Linked DNA regions of Oryzias latipes. Each later gene encodes a partner of the first gene's protein in a complex. Links are inferred from orthologs where the notes say so. Each region holds a gene or a part of one and is shown on either strand. Other genes may lie near its edges.

Region 1 (8,489 bases):
CTTTGCCATCCTTCATAAAAGAGGATCTGAAGAGTCAAGATACATCCATTAGTCTTAGTTCTTTGCGTTCAGTCACACCAGCTTTTACCTTTGTGTGTTTTCAGTCTTTTTTTTTTTGTGGTTATGTTCCTCACAGATTCTTAGTGATGCCGTAGCCTCCAGGGAAGATGACGGCATCAAAGCTGCTGGCATCCAGGGAAGACAGGTCCTGCATTTGCATCTTTCCCTGCCCGTGGCTGAAGCGCGCTGACTCAATCATCATGTTCCTGTTTATCAGTCAAACATGACCAAAAGTAGTTCCAGTCAAGTTGAATATCAAAACTATGACATTAGGGAAGAACAGAGCTCTTCTTAAGCGTGTCAAATGAGTGGCTCCAACCTGTTCTCCCCAGAAGCTGGTTGCTTTTTCATGTGGTCCATCACGTTCATCTGCTGTTGATTTGGGGCAAAAATCTGGAAGCGAGCGCCATTTCTGCTCAGGTGGTACATGGTGCTAAACACAAGTGTTTCCAGTTATGGTCATTCACTGGTGTACAAAACTTTCCTGATCTTCTCATACTCACTACACGCCCTCATGGACGTCAGTTCCATCCCACCATCCGCATCCAGAGAAAACCTAGAGTATAAGGAGAAATTCCAGCAATGTGTGCCATGATCTCATTACTGATCTCACAAAGTTCTGCTTAACCTACCACAGCGACATTGGTGTTTCCCCAGTTGCCATAGTCACCCTGGTGAACAAAGCAGGCAGGCTGGCGGAAAAAAACAGCCAGTGTTTGTTTAGAAAGCAAAGCCCTGGTTCCCAACATGGTTCTGCTTTGGTCTCACGGCTTTGAGAGGAGAAATGAAACGTTGGAGTTTCTCACAGAGCTTTCCACGACCTCTGATAGTCCTGATATTGATCCGAGTGAAGCGGCCTGTATATATACCTCCATAGTGCAGCCAAAGTGACGTGGCCACGTAAGACCATTGTCTTATCACACCTGCACTTGTTTCCCCACTGAACTCCCTTACCTACGCCATTACCGCCTTCACCGCTCCCCTAATCAACTTATTTAACCACAGAGGGACGCCTCCTGACAAATCCAATCAATATCTTTGTTTGCCTTTGATCTTCATGGGATTTGCTGGTGGAGAAATTGTGTTCAATGTTTAAAGCAGCTGAGTGACATTCCATATGCCCTTTAAAGTCCATTAGATTGTAAGGCTCTTACTCTCTAGTAATGCCATGTAGCGTCTAGACGGTGAACCCAGAAATATCCTTGGCAGATGGAAAAGACAGATCAAATTTAAAGGCTTCAGTTAGTTAGTGGAAGGCTGACATTTGGTTAAACTCCTGGACGCCTCAGTGGGATGTAAACCAGCAGGACGCAAAATATGACTTTGACTTTATTAGAATCAGTTGATGTAAGCAATCAATATGTACATACTGCTGACAGTATAGCAAAGATTAATAGTGGAAAAATGTTGTAAAACCAACTCGAAACACATTAGCCACAATTCCAAGTCTGAACTAAGTGAGAAGATTTGGGCTGAAACGTAAAAATTGCACACTAAAGAACTCATGCATGGGTACAACATGATGGATCCAACACACAGTCACAAAATACAAATAAGAACAATTCAAAGACAAAAAATAAAAAACAAAATAACCTTACATACTCATCCTGCAAACACTTTTCTTGGGCATCTCCCTTTCTTTACGCCCCCACCTTACAACAAAAACACCCACCCGGGCTGTTTTTTTTTCCTTAAACGCCCAAAATCTCACCCCCCCACCAAAAAGCACAGAATAAAAGACACAGAATATAACCATAGACAAATGTCTACAAAGCAAAAGAACAATCAAAGACAAAAAGAAAAGTATGTGCAATAAATAGGGTCAATTTTCATAAAAATAAAAATTTAAAACAATCTCGTCAGTGTACAGATGAATTTGCATCTATGGTGCATCTAAAAATAAATCATACATATGACAAGCACATCAAATGAAATCTAAATGCTGCTTAGCAAAGCTCCATCTTTCTCCAATTACATCAACAATCTGCTAAGAGCCAGTGTGGCTTTGGCTGCATCATCAAAATCTTAGGGAGTACTGGTTTGCACTCATTGCTTTTTTTTTTAATTTTACATGTAAAGACTAAATTCTGCAAGTCATTTAAATGCAGATATTTAACCAACCCCATGTTGAAATGAAGAATTCCCTTCTAAATGTCTATCACCACCAAATAAAAGCGTTCATGCACCTCAGCACTTTCATTGAATGAATCTGTGCACTAAAGGTACACAAACTGTTTTCGTTGCCAAGAATATTTGCAGAGATATTCATTTGATAAAGAATGTGGTTTGCGGGTCAAGCAAACAGCTGTGCAGAGAGGAAAGACAACCCAAGGCCATGTCGCCGCTTTTTGCTGGCATTATGGTGTGTAGGCAGGAGGTGGCTGAAACTGGTTGGCAATGTCATAGTCAGCAGGGAAAGTCTCGCTGCTGTCCTCCATTTCTGAGAGCAGCTCCAAGGCCTGCTCTTCCTCCTCGGTGGGATAATGGCGCAGGAGGTTTGCAGCAGTGGCTAGAATGGAGGCTCCACCAGCACCTGCCACCAGGTAGAAGCTGATGGCAAAGGTGACGTAAATGAGAGAGCCATGGTACTTTTTGTGTTGCTGCTGCAGTGACAAGATCAGTTCCGATGCCCAGTAGCAAAAGCCTATGACTGTGGCACACTGCAACACTGGAAAGACAAAGAAACCAGTTACATTGTAGCAATGTGTTTGATCTTTATTAGAAATGAAAACAAGCACTGTAGATACCTGTTAGTATATGTGCAAAAGCATATCTGCGAGTTATCTTTAGGGCAGGGTGTTTGGGTCCAAACACATCCAGGAGGAACGCAGTTAGACTGCACAGGATGCCAAGGAAACAGAAGGCAGCTATTACCCTTAGCAGCAGGATGGTCTGCGGATTCACACAGTAATCTGAAAAGACAGACGTGCCACAAATTCATATAAATTAAGGCACTCCATGATCCTCAGCTTAGAGTGGCAACGACTTTGTGCTGGTTCTTACCACCCAAAAGATTGGGATCAACGTATCCCAAGACATCTGCCACCCCGAGTTCTTGTCTCGGGCAGGTGCCTCCGTGAATCCGGAGCCAAGCAGGTTCAGCCAGAGCCGTGCACAGCGCTGTGATGGACAAAGCTCCGGGCAGGGCCGACACTAGACTCCGCTCCGGCTGTTTGGGAAGTGAGGTACCGGCTCTCCTCCTCCGACCTCCGGAGACAGCGGGACCCGGTGGGGCATACATAGCTGACCGAATGGCGAATTTTCTGTTGAAGTGGTAGGTTCCTCTTAGCACTGTCTTCCTCTTGACAGTAGTACCGGGTTATTGTGGTATTAGAGTAAAACTACGGCAATTGTCTTCCAGGATATGTCAAAGATTTCGGTGGCGATAAAAGTGCTCAACAATATAAAAACAACAATAACCGCTTCCCTAAAGTAGTCAAAAAATATTAAGGAAAAGCCAACACAAAGAACAGATCCTAAGCGGGCCTTTAGCTCTGTTGTTAGCCTCTGAAGCTAACTAAAAAAAATAAACACTTTACGTCACCAGTTCTCGGAGGAAAGACACTTTTTAGCGAACGAATGGGAAAAAATATAACCTGTAAACATCAAATCCCGCTGATAAAACCGTCCGTCTCTATGATACAAAAAGGAACACAAAACAAAACAAAAGATAGCTTACGCTGTTTTCCTCAAAATCCCTAACTTCCTGTATATGCCATTCTTCTTCGTGACGTTTAGAATGTTTGCTGTACACTACCGCCCCCAGCGGAAACTAAAATAGAAATGTACACAATGTTTAGCATGAAATTTTCTTTGCAAACAGTAATGTAAATATAGATTCATATTATAAAAATACATATATAGGTAGATCACTTTCTTTAAAAATATATAAATGAAATATTACCATCAAAACGTTTTATTTTAGATCAACCCATAATGCACCGGGTCCAGATCCCGATAAGCAAACATGGCGGCATTTCCTAATTTGACGCTTCTTTGAACTTATCTGTGTGAACAATTTTCCTTGGTTAATTTCCCCCTCCTTTTGTTTTAATGTTCATAAAGGTGTATTAATTTACTCGCAGTCCTCTTGTCTGTCGTTTTCCTCATTTGTGACTCTTTTTAGCCTAAATCTTTGGTTAACGGAAATCGAGAAAAGTGTCGAGTCGACGCCTGACAGACAGAGGAGTCACGTTTGCTGGAGCTCTGCCATGAAGGAGGCTATTTCTCTGGTGCAGAAACTCAGCGCACACCCAGATTCTCGGTGCTGGTTCGTCAGTTGGAGCCCGAGCGGTGCGCTGCTGGCTTCGTGTGGTGGCGATAAGGCCATCCGGATATGGGGACAGGAAGGTCAGACTCAGACAGACAAAGAGCCTTCTATTCGAATTTTGCTACGCCGATTTAAAATCAGTGGTTGGATGACCTTACCTTTTTTACAGTTCATGTTTTCCCTTTTCAAGGTGACTCTTGGGTTTGTAAAAACGTTCTGCAGGACGGACACCAGCGCACTGTGAGGAAAGTAGCCTGGTCTCCCTGTGGGAACTATCTGGCCTCCGCCAGCTTCGATGCGACGACATGCATCTGGAAAAAGAAGAACGACGACTTTGAGGTAAGGTTCGTTTAACCTCTGATCTAACACGTGTTCTGGCTCCACCTGGACTCTTTTCTTGTCTTCTAGAGCTTAACTGTGTTGGAAGGTCATGAAAACGAGGTCAAATGCGTGGCGTGGGCCCCTTCAGGGACTTTGCTGGCCACTTGTAGCCGAGACAAGAGTGTCTGGGTTTGGGAAGGTTTGTGTCCTCACCAGCTCTTGCAGGACAATCCTTTGTCACAGAAAACATATAGAGCTGGGTTGTAAACCTTTGTTTTCCTTCTTCACAGTGGACGAAGAAGATGAGTACGAGTGTGTTACAGTGGTGAACTCGCACACACAAGATGTAAAGCATGTTGTGTGGCATCCCACGCAAGAGGTAGGTCTGCACTCAGTCCTTCACCATCATGTAGTTGTTTTATTATTGTTGCTATTAATTGTTAAAGTGCATCTTTAGCCATATTTATGATCTACGTGCTGTTTTTAATAGAGCCATGGTAACGACGTTTGTGGGATCAATAAAGTTGTATTTTATTCTATTTCCGCAGCTCTTGGCTTCTGCCAGCTACGACAACAACATCTGTATTTACAAGGAGGAGGATGATGACTGGGAGTGCAGGGCCACTCTGCAGGGACACACGTCCACCGTCTGGAGTTTGTGTTTCGACGTGACGGGACAGAGGCTGGCGTCTTGCAGCGATGACCGCACTGTGAAGATTTGGAAGGAGTATCCAAGTGAGAGTGGTGAGAAGATAGAGGGGTAGTTTATGACATAAATAAAAAAAAATAGGATATTTTTTAATCACAGAATGTTTTGTTTGGTCTGCTTTATTAGGTGATTTGTCATGGAAGTGCGTTTGCACTCTGTCGGGTTATCATGGACGAACAGTGTACGACATTGCCTGGTAAGACTAAATACTTACACTACAGCAGGGGTGTCAAACACACGGCCCGCGGGCCTTATCCGGCCCGCCAGGTGGTTTACTCCGGCCCACACATGAAGAGTAAAAATCAAAAGGATGATTAAAAAAGAAAGCAAGTTTCTAGTCCATTCCTGTGGCGAATTATGATTTTTTAAAGAAATAACAGAAATGTGCAATTCCGCCACTAGGGGGAGTAAAGGAAAAGAAAAACAGTTGAAACAGCAAATATCTGCATGTGCCAAAAGCGAAACATAACAGCTCTGCGTCTGGGTAGGATGCACCTTGGTTCCCTATGAGCCTTACCGCTGTTATCTTGCTATAAGGATGATCATTAGCGACACCCTAATGACCAAAATGCTGTCAAACGTGAAGTGGAGGGAAGAGCCTTCCAGGAAAATTGGACAGAGTTTTTTCTTTTTTTCACGAAGCTGAATGTAAAACCCAAATGCTTTGTATGTCATCAACATCGCAGTGCTCAAAGAATATGACATTCAGCACCACTAAGAGACTTATCATAAAGAAAAGTTTCTGGATTGCTTCAGTGTCAGATGTAAAATATTCAGACTGCATTAATTTGAATAGACCAACTTTTCTTTAATTGAAATTAATTTTATTTGAGCTCCATTGGCCCCAAGTGATTAGGCTACTATGTTGATTGAGACATTTTTTCCAACTGAATAAAAAACTAAAACAAAGCTGTTATTTTGCTTTTATGTTACTGGTCCGGCCCACTTGAGATCAGACGGGTTAAATGTGGCCCCCGAACCAAAATGAGTTGGACACCCCTGCACTACAGTCTGGTGTCTGATTTTTTTTTTTTTACTTTAAAAATAGATTCTATTTACAGAGTTTTTAAAAAGTTGCCAAAACAGATTTTCTTCTTTGCTTTTTTGGCTGTACCACCACTAAAACAGCGCTTGTCATCAGTCGGCTGAATCTTTGTCCCCTTTACTATTATGGCTCAAACAACTGTCTGTTGCGTAGGTGTCGACTGACCGGTGCCCTAGCAACTGCCTGTGGCGACGACGCCATACGAGTGTTTAGGGAGGATCTCGCGGCCCATGCAGATGAGCCGGTGTTCTCGCTGGCTGCTCAGGTGAAGAAGGCTCACTGTCAGGATGTGAACTGCGTCGCCTGGAACCCAAAGGAGGCCGGCCTCCTGGCCTCCTGCAGTGATGATGGAGACATTGCAATTTGGAGGTTTCAAGAAGAAGACTGAACCTGCTGTGGAGACACCAGCAATTGGATGAAACCCTGTGCTGAACTTAAATGTTCTTTTCTTTTGCTATATAAAGTCATGCTTATACAGTTATCTTTATAAATCTGAATGATTGTAAAATGTAAAGTTTAAGTTCTATTTTTATTCACAAAAGTGATGATGGGTGTGCTGGTTAACTGTTTTTAGTCCTACAACTTAAAAGGAGCAAGAAACTAGTTCTGTTCTGTTTACATCTAAATACATCTTTATAGCAAAAAGCAGGTTTTCTGTAAAAAAATGATTTAAATAAAGCCTCAAACCCTTGGAGTGATCGGAGACTGTGCATAACTACTGTACACCCAAAAAATGGAAAATATATATATATATATATCCCCACACCTGAAATGTCTGAATAAGCTTGCAAAAATGTATTTTGGAAACGGAAATAAGTAACTGCACTGAATGAACTTGTTTTCAAGTTTGGTAGTTGGGTTTACCTTTGTGCTATCTTAGACGACCCCACCCTTACTTTGACGTGTTCTCCCTACCATGATAAAGGTGGAAAGATTTCATGTAATCCATGGACACCAGTGAAGATCACAAATCATTGAAGAAAAAAAGGTTCAGAGCACTGTCTAGTGGGTCTAGATGACCCAACTCCCAATGGTAAAGTGCCTAGGATAGCACAACACCACTATCAGTAGTCAAAGCTCACCAACTGGCTTGCACTGTTAATTTAACCCTTGTGCTATCCTAACATTGGGAGTGGGGTCATCTAGACCCACTAGAAAGTGCTCTGAACCTTTTTTCTCCAATGATTTGTAATCTTCTCTGGTATCCATAAATTACATGAAATCTTTCCACCTTTATCATGGTAGGGAGAACACGTCAATGTAAGGGGGGGGGGAGTCGTCTACGATAGCACAAGGGTTAAACCCAACTACCAAACTTGAAAACAAGTTCATTCAGTGCAGTTATTTCCATTACCAAAAGACATTTTTGCAAGCTTATTCAGACATTTCAGGTGTGGGGATATATATAGGGATAAAGGGAGGGGATCAAGAACAATCTTGTCAATATCCATTAAGTGCTGTAGTGACATGAGCTTGTAGCATAAAAGGGGCCAGACTAAGAACTAATTGTTTCATAATAAAACTATAAAACAATTTTCAGATGTTTTTATTGCAAAAAACAAACAGACAGCATGAATGATTAAACGGTTTAACCAATCCAAAAAATCTTATGACGTTTAACCAAAGTAAAATGGAAAGTCTAATCTATTTAAACATGCAATGTGGATGAGACTCAGCTGTTCAACGGCAGTTTAAGATGTCTTAGACTTATCTTTGAATAATTTTGTGAAAAGTACATCAATGGTCAACGTAAAGAACACAAAACTTCTGAAAAGCTGTTTAACATACAGGATAAAACGATTGTACTGACTACGAAAACATGTTATAACACCCACAGAGAACTGACAGGGTCACTCTCAGAGATTGATCGGGGTAAATATCTACATATAAAACCTGATCCCATTATTTATTGAAAAAAAAAAAAGGATTAAAAATGTAGAATTTGAATTTCCAGCTTAATCTGAATCGCTGTCGCTGTCTGCCTCCTTCACGTCCACACTGAACTTGTACTCCTGATCACAGCCCATGTAAGCGTCGCTCATGAAGTACAGCGTGTAGTTGTGAATGCCCATCGCTGGTGCCAC
Region 2 (7,384 bases), on another chromosome or scaffold:
GTTTGAAAAAAAAAAGTAGTGAGCGCGTGCCGCGTGGTGCTCGGCAGTGAAAGCCGCGCGCGCGCAGGCGGGAGAGAAGGAGAAGTGATCAAAGGTTTCCCATAGAAACCCTTGAAGTCTGAACACAGGACTAGCAGAAAAACTAAATTATGAAGACGAGTTAAATCTACACCTTTTCGCAAAATTTACTTTATTGAAAAAGGTGAAGAATATATAAACCGTTAGATATTTTAGTGGCCCGAGCGGACAAGTGAAAAGTAAAGTCTTGTGGTCCGCACTGCTCGAAAAACAGGACCGGGCCAGCGGACAAATGGCTATGTCGAGCCCTGTAATGTCAAAGTACTTAATTTTGTTTTTCTTTACAACACTGTTAGCAGTAAGTATTTCTAGTCTAAAGCTAAATGATCTCAGTAATTTAATTTTTCAATTATTTAATTCAATTTAATTAAGTAACTAAAGTAACTAAAAAGTAATTGTAACTTTGCAACTTTAAACAAGTAACTCTGCAAATTTGAACAACATAACGGTAATTAAGGATCTAAAAAGTAAAAAACTAAATAAAACTTCTTAACTATTGATTACGAACAAATGTGAAATAGCAGTGATTAGAAGCAGCATGAAAACTTCTTAACTAGTGTTGCCTACTACACTGAAGTGCTCTCTTCAAAAAATCTGAAACAGACTAGAGCAGATATAAGTATGATATGGTCTATTTTCAGTAATTGAAAAGTGTATAAATAAGTAATAGATGTCACCAGAATGCATCAAATTGCACCATATTAAAATTTTCCGGGGGGGAATGCCCTAAAGTTAAGGCGTCCGTCGCTTTGGGTGCCGCCTGCGGCGGCGGGTCGCGCTGTGTGCGGTGTCGGGCCAGTAACTTTCTGGCAGGGCCAGTAAATTTCAAAAACCACTGGCCCAAATTTCTGAGCTATGTCAACCCCAGCCTTCTCCTTGAAAGCGACTTCAGTCCGATCTGATCCTCAAAGGCGCTTTTTCCTGCCGTTCAACAGATGTGATCCGATCGATCCGGGACCCAGAGAAACCCAACACGCTGGAGGAACTGGAGGTGGTGACGGAGAAATGTGTGGAGGTCCAGGATCTGGGAGAGGACGAGTACCTGATCATCATCAAGTTTTCCCCCACCGTCCCTCACTGCTCCCTTGCTACTCTCATTGGTGAGTAACTGATGGAGACACGAGGACAGGACCCAGAGCCACAAGAACAGAGGACCTGACCAGGAGCTGAACCGGAGTTATTAAATCTTTAGAAAGAAAAACATGACCTGTTGGTAATGAATATCCTATTTCCTGTTCTGTGAAAAAACTAACTCATCTGAAATGTTTAGCAATAGCAAAAAACTTTAACAGGTCTGCTTTTCTTGGTCAGGTGTTCTTTCCATTGCTGAGTAAAGTTTAACTTAATGTGTGTTCAGAGAATAAGTCATGTTTTTTGCAGTTTGGCCAGGGGTGCGACTTATACTGTGGAGTGACTTATTTTCTGATTAAAAAAAAAACTAATATATTTGTCATTTTCCCACTAAGAACAACTAGAGGGCTCAGTAAAGGGGTTTATTGGTAATTCCTACTGACAGCAACACAGAAGAAGCTCTGCTCAGTCCAGTCATCCATTCAGGCTTTCTTCAGTGGCTGTCGTGGTGCAAAGTTAGAGCGGTCGACCTCTGATTGGAAGATTGGATTGCTGGCACAACACTGAACTCCCCATTGCTCCTGGTGGTTATAGGTAGTGCCATCAGTATATGAATGGGACTGTGACTGTAAATCACTATGGACCTTCTAAGAAGGTACTAAAGCGCTATACAAGTATACACCATTTACCTTTTTTTCTTGACTATTAAACATACTACATAGCATATAATACATAGGTGTAAGGCCCTGAATCCCGGAAAAGACATTTAGATTAGGTTTGGTCGTTGTAGCTACAAAGTCATTCTGCTTCTAAATGGACGTGGGTCAGGGTGTTGGGTCTGCCGCCGTGAACAGGCTGGTTCTGGTCAGTGATTGTGATCACTGGAGCCAAGCAGCTGCAGTTGTAAACAGCCTGTACCACAAACAGATAAGGACTATGCTCAGGAATGCAGACTCACAGCAGGGGTGATTCATTAGAAATCATTGTATATAATCAGAGCGGTCCTAATGAGCACAAAAATACATTGTTGGATTGAACTAATAACACTTTCAAAAAGTTCCAGCTGCTATACTGAACATACATGTTTGTCACACATTTTTATTGTAAGGAAAACCATATTCTTAACTAATTATAAGATCATTATAAAAATGATATTATTTAGCATGTCAAATCATCGTGTGAGGCTGAAAGCTCTGTTGGAAAAGACACTTTCGAGGCTTCAGTTAGTTTCTATAACATACATTTAATATTGGGTTTTTGTTGATCTGTTGTTATGGTTAATCCCTAAATCTGAGCTTCCCTGATGATGACATTCTCGTGTCTGTGTGACAAATTCAGACTTGTCCTAGTTAGAACAGGTCAATTTTTTTTCTTATGTTTCCAGCTTAAACTCTGCCTATACAGCTTCGGCTAAGTTGGGCCTCTTTCTTGGAATAAGCTCCAGTGTCGGTTGTCTTCTGAACCTTGCTATGTTTGCAGGTTTGTGCCTACAAGTGAAGCTGCAGCGCTGTTTGCCTTTCAAACACAAGGTGAGCCTTCCTGTTGTCCAGCTGCACGCTGCCCCACACATGCATCTTCCTTCCTGCATTCACTGCGCATGCTTACAGAAAAACAGATGCAAACTTAACCACTTCAAGTGGAGCTCATCACTTTGTAATGGATGTGCTGTTTAGATGAACACAGTTCTTCATTGTTTGGCTCAATCTGTGAAAGGCTGAGTCTTAAACCACTTTCCACCCAAAGTCATGATCTGTATTTAGTTTTCGTGTGTGAATGGAAGAGAGTCCACTTTTGCACAGGTTATTTGGTGGCAAAAAGCATCAGTCTTGACAGCACGCTTAGCCAGCACAGGCTGTTCATTCCGTTGTACTATCCAGAAATATGCCAGGGTTTTAGAAGTAAACTCTGCCTACAGAGACCTGTCTGTGGGATTCTCTGTTAGGTTCTCCTGGTCAGATCCTGAAACCAAAGTAGGCACAGCAGTAAATGGGTTACGTATCCAGTCATGTGAGCCGTCAAGTCTCCTGGAGGTGACTACGTTACTGCGCCGCCAGCCCCAGATGTGTGTTAGTTAGTCTGAGGCGACATGCTCTCTCTAGGTTCAAGGCTCTGCATTCAACTCTTCACTCATCCCTTTCCACAGGATCATCACTGGCCGTGCTAGTTGCTGCCTATAGACTCATCAGTGCTAGCAAACCGATTTGATAAATACGTTTTTTAACCTATGAGGTCATGGTAAGAATGTCTTCAGCTGAGAGCTGACTGGTTGTCGAAGCTGGAGTTGGATGTTTTTTTTTTAATATCCAATTGTCCAATTCAGCATTGCTCTGAGAAAACTTAGTCACGTGCCAATCAAACATTTTAAACCGAATTACAATTTCTGATTGTTTCTCTTTCTCCTCTGATATACCCCCATGGCTTTTTGTGTACCCCAAGATTGCACTTACTGTAGTTTAAGAACTGCTGCTCCAGAGGTCACCACGTTAGCTTCAACACCTGAACATAAGTATATTTGGAAAATAGGAACTCCTGGTTCTGGTTCTAAAAGCAGTGAGTAGGCAGATAAGGGAAGTTAGTGTCTCATAGGGCTGCACGATATGAGGAAAACTTGCGATATGGGATATTAGTGATCAATATTGCGATAACGATAAATTTGCGGTAAATAAACAAATAGAAAAATAAACAAAAACATCATTCCCATTTCATTGCAACAGTTTAAAAATTATACTCCAAATGACCCTCATCGACATGGGGGACAAACGTCAGGGTGGCTAACCCTGGTCCTCAAGAGCCTCAACCCTGTTTTCCAATTCTCCCTAGACCAGAGGTGGGCACTGAGGGCCGCATTCCTGCATGTTTTCCAGCATACCCTGCTCTGGCATGTTCTAATTGGCTGGACACACCTGAACCAGGTAATAAGCCATGAGTAGGGAAAGGCTATCTTGAAATCATGCAGACACACCGGTCCTCGAGGCCTGGAATTGCCCACCCCTGCCCTAGACTGCTCGATAATGATAACCAAAATCAGGTGTGTTCAGTCAATCAGGATGTGAAATCACTTGAGTCAGCCAATCAACAGCAAGCTGGTTAAGGAGAGCTGGAAAACAGGCAGGGTTGAGGCTCTTCAGGACCAGGGTTAACATAATAGGCCTCCATCTGATTGGTCAACAATGGGAAGGCGTCCATCTGATTGGTCAAAGCATAAAGGGATTTATTTGATTCGTTAAATGCTTCAAGCTGCTAGAAGATTGTTTTAACACATTTTGGGTTTGCGATTTGTTGCGATATTCGCCATCTTTTGCGATATGCATATTGCAGAGCTGGATATTGCGATAACGATAAATTTGCGGTATATTGTGCAGGCCTAGTGTCTCATCTCTCTATCATCAGTACCAGTTTGTCTCTAGACCTTCACCTCTTTTCCTTCAGCGTAAACTGAAATTTTCTGTTGTCTGTCTTTTGTTTCAAGCTGGAAATTTACCTTTCAGAAGGAACCCATTCTACAGAGGAAGACAGTAAGTTTCTCTGCTGTCATGAAACTTCCCTCCATCAGGACACATGCATGTCTGTCTCATGTTCCCTGTTTTGATTTGTCACGAGCTTGGATGCTTTCATGCAACTTTTTGTCATTTCTATATTTTTCTGTGACCAGTAAACAAACAAATCAATGATAAGGAGCGAGTGGCCGCCGCTATGGAGAACCCCAACCTTCGAGAGATCGTGGAGCAGTGCGTGACGGAACCAGACGACTGAGCCTCAGTGTGTGTTTGTGCGTGATTGAATTGTCCATTTGAGCAAAGGACAGGATCAGGTTGGACCTTTTTGACCCAGAAGGAAAACAACTGTCCCTTTTTCCTTTTTTTTTTCTCATGCCGCAAGAGGGAAAATGATGAAAATGTTTTTGCGGAGAGAAACTTAAACTGATGCTTGAGAAGTTCTGATTTTCTTAAAAATGATTTGTACTTTTAGATGTTTTAAATGAATTAAAGCTGTTGCGTGTCAGTCTTTGTCTGAGGGGGTGGGGGGGCTAAAGGACATTTAAAAACAAAAGTAACTAAAGGCACATTCTATTCCCAGGGTCTTTTCCCAAAAAGCTAACTCAATAGAAATCCTGACCAAATTCAAGATGAGCTGTTTCACAAACTGGAAAAAGTCTGAGTTTGGTTTTGACTCCTCCCACTTGAGAGTCACACTTTCATCCCCACATAAAAACTGACGTGAGGCTGAGAGTGAATCATTTTTAGAGTTTCTAACAAACACTTTGCTATTCTTTTGTAAAAATAAGCCGTTGGTTTAGGAACAGAAAATGAATGCAGTTCTATGTTAGAAAAAAGTGATCTGCACTTATTGTTACTCTTCAATCTTATTGTCATATGCTCCGCACACTACAGATGCTGTTGGACACACTGAATGTTAATTACAAATCTGGGAGCCAAAATCTTTAAATGTGCAAACTTGACCACATCATTAGTTCATTATGGTATGCACATATTGATTTTTCTGTTCATCTTTGTGTCTTTTTTAGGGGAAGTTTTCCTCTAAGGGAAAAATGTCACATTTTGTTTATTGTACACACAAAATATTTGGAATAAAGTTTATGGCAATAGATTAATTGATTACAAATCCACCTCTGATTATTAGTTTCATTGTCTGTAGTAATATGGTATATACAGTGCTCAGCACTGTATATACCATATTACAATACAGTGTATTTTAGAATGAATGCTTGGATAGAAGTTCAAAATTCAACAAATGATCAAACAACTACCGCCCTGCCCCCCCATGTTTAACTGTGGATCCATACTGAAAATAGGGTTTAAAACTCTGGCAAGGTCCTATCTCATCACACATCGTGCAGTAGCTTTTGAGACTGTCAGACAGTCTCTACTGATGCCTGCATCTTCACTGTCTGTGACATGACAAGAATCAAAACCATTCCAAGGTTTTTGGGTTGGCCACAGGGACAAACATAGTTTTACAAAAACAGGCTTTAAATTGTAAGATGGCTACGTTTTAGTTTCTTTTTCTACGAGCTTTCTTAGCTCAGGTGACTTAATTATCTGCCTGCCATGAACAAAACGTAGATATTTGCTATTGTTTTGGTGGAAAATCCCACAAAATAAGATTTTGTGGACTAATCTTTATTTTGATACCATTTCTAGCAAAATATATAAACCCTTTTATACCGACGGCAATCATCAACTCTTCCTCCATTTGATTTTGGACTCCAGCCGCTAATAAGATCAACACGAAAATACCAAAGCGTAGTTCCTGATCTAGTGACCCAATGCAAAACTTCAGATATTTGAACTCTGGAAACAATGTGCTGTGCAGCCAAGTTTCTGTCACAGAGTGCAAATAGCTGAACTTTGGTGAAGCTTTGCATTGGGTCACCTGATGGAAGAGGAGATGATTGCAGTTTGTGGTTCTCCTGAACTTAATGATATTGTAATTGTATGGAGACCATACTGAAAAGGGTCTTGTTTTGTCTGCAGCTCCTCCCTCGCCCATGCTATGATTCTCTGATGCTATGTCAATGAGCTGTTTTGTGTGCGTCACAAGTATGTGACCACAAACTGGTTTAATGTCTGAAAATATTTTCACAGACCAGACTTTAAGATGTGGCAGATTAATACAACAAACTTAATTAATTGGACAGTCATTAAAAAAAAGATCATTTTAAATATAATAAAAGTCATGAATCAACTGTGAATGCAACTTTATCAGCAGCATCTCACAACAGAGCCAGTTTGTTTGTTTGGCTGAAAAAAGCTCTCCAGCTATTTAAAGACTGGTCAATGTTGAAAATAGAATTGAAAAAATATATAGAAGGAAGTTATGCGGTCGCTCTATCGGTCCGTCGTGGTGAAGAGAGAGCTGAGCCTAAAAGCAAAGTTCTCTATTTACCGGTCGATCTTTGTTCCAGTACTCACCAATGGTCATGAGCTCTGGGTCTTGACTGAAAGAACGAGGTCCTGAATACAAGCGGCTGAAATGAGCTTCCTCTGTAGGGGGGCGGGGCGCTCCCTTAGAGATAGGATGGGAAGTTCAGTCACCCGCGGAGAGCTCGGAGTAGAACCGCTTCTTCTCCACATCGAGAGGAGCCAGTTGAGGTGGCTCGGGCATCTAGTTCGGACGCCTCCCTGGAGAGGTGTTCCGGGCATGTCCCACTGGGCGGAGGCCCCAGGGAAGACCCAGGACACACTGGAGAGACTACGTCTCTCGGCTGGCCTGG

What was found.
Region 2: ciao1 (region 1) and fam96a share a complex: the UniProt entries of both Homo sapiens proteins name them as parts of the CIA complex. The link is inferred for Oryzias latipes from reciprocal best matches to the Homo sapiens genes CIAO1 and CIAO2A.

What each region holds. Positions count from the first base shown.
Region 1 is NC_019867.2:18,358,738-18,367,226, forward strand, and holds ciao1 (probable cytosolic iron-sulfur protein assembly protein CIAO1), read left to right. Parts: upstream 1-3,995; 5' UTR 3,996-4,271; coding exon 4,272-4,410; intron 4,411-4,520; coding exon 4,521-4,669; intron 4,670-4,738; coding exon 4,739-4,850; intron 4,851-4,941; coding exon 4,942-5,030; intron 5,031-5,199; coding exon 5,200-5,395; intron 5,396-5,486; coding exon 5,487-5,556; intron 5,557-6,558; coding exon 6,559-6,793; 3' UTR 6,794-7,103; downstream 7,104-8,489. Other genes in the region: ES1 protein, mitochondrial-like, read right to left, coding at 1-26, 135-266, 380-493, 564-616, 693-809; tmem127 (transmembrane protein 127), read right to left, coding at 2,418-2,728, 2,808-2,972, 3,064-3,301; snrnp200 (U5 small nuclear ribonucleoprotein 200 kDa helicase), read right to left, coding at 8,361-8,489. UniProt on the Homo sapiens protein: Key component of the cytosolic iron-sulfur protein assembly (CIA) complex, a multiprotein complex that mediates the incorporation of iron-sulfur cluster into extramitochondrial Fe/S proteins.
Region 2 is NC_019864.2:1,195,652-1,203,035, forward strand, and holds the end of fam96a (MIP18 family protein FAM96A), read left to right. Parts: intron 1-1,013; coding exon 1,014-1,178; intron 1,179-2,628; coding exon 2,629-2,678; intron 2,679-4,618; coding exon 4,619-4,664; intron 4,665-4,801; coding exon 4,802-4,902; 3' UTR 4,903-5,761; downstream 5,762-7,384. UniProt on the Homo sapiens protein: Component of the cytosolic iron-sulfur protein assembly (CIA) complex, a multiprotein complex that mediates the incorporation of iron-sulfur cluster into extramitochondrial Fe/S proteins.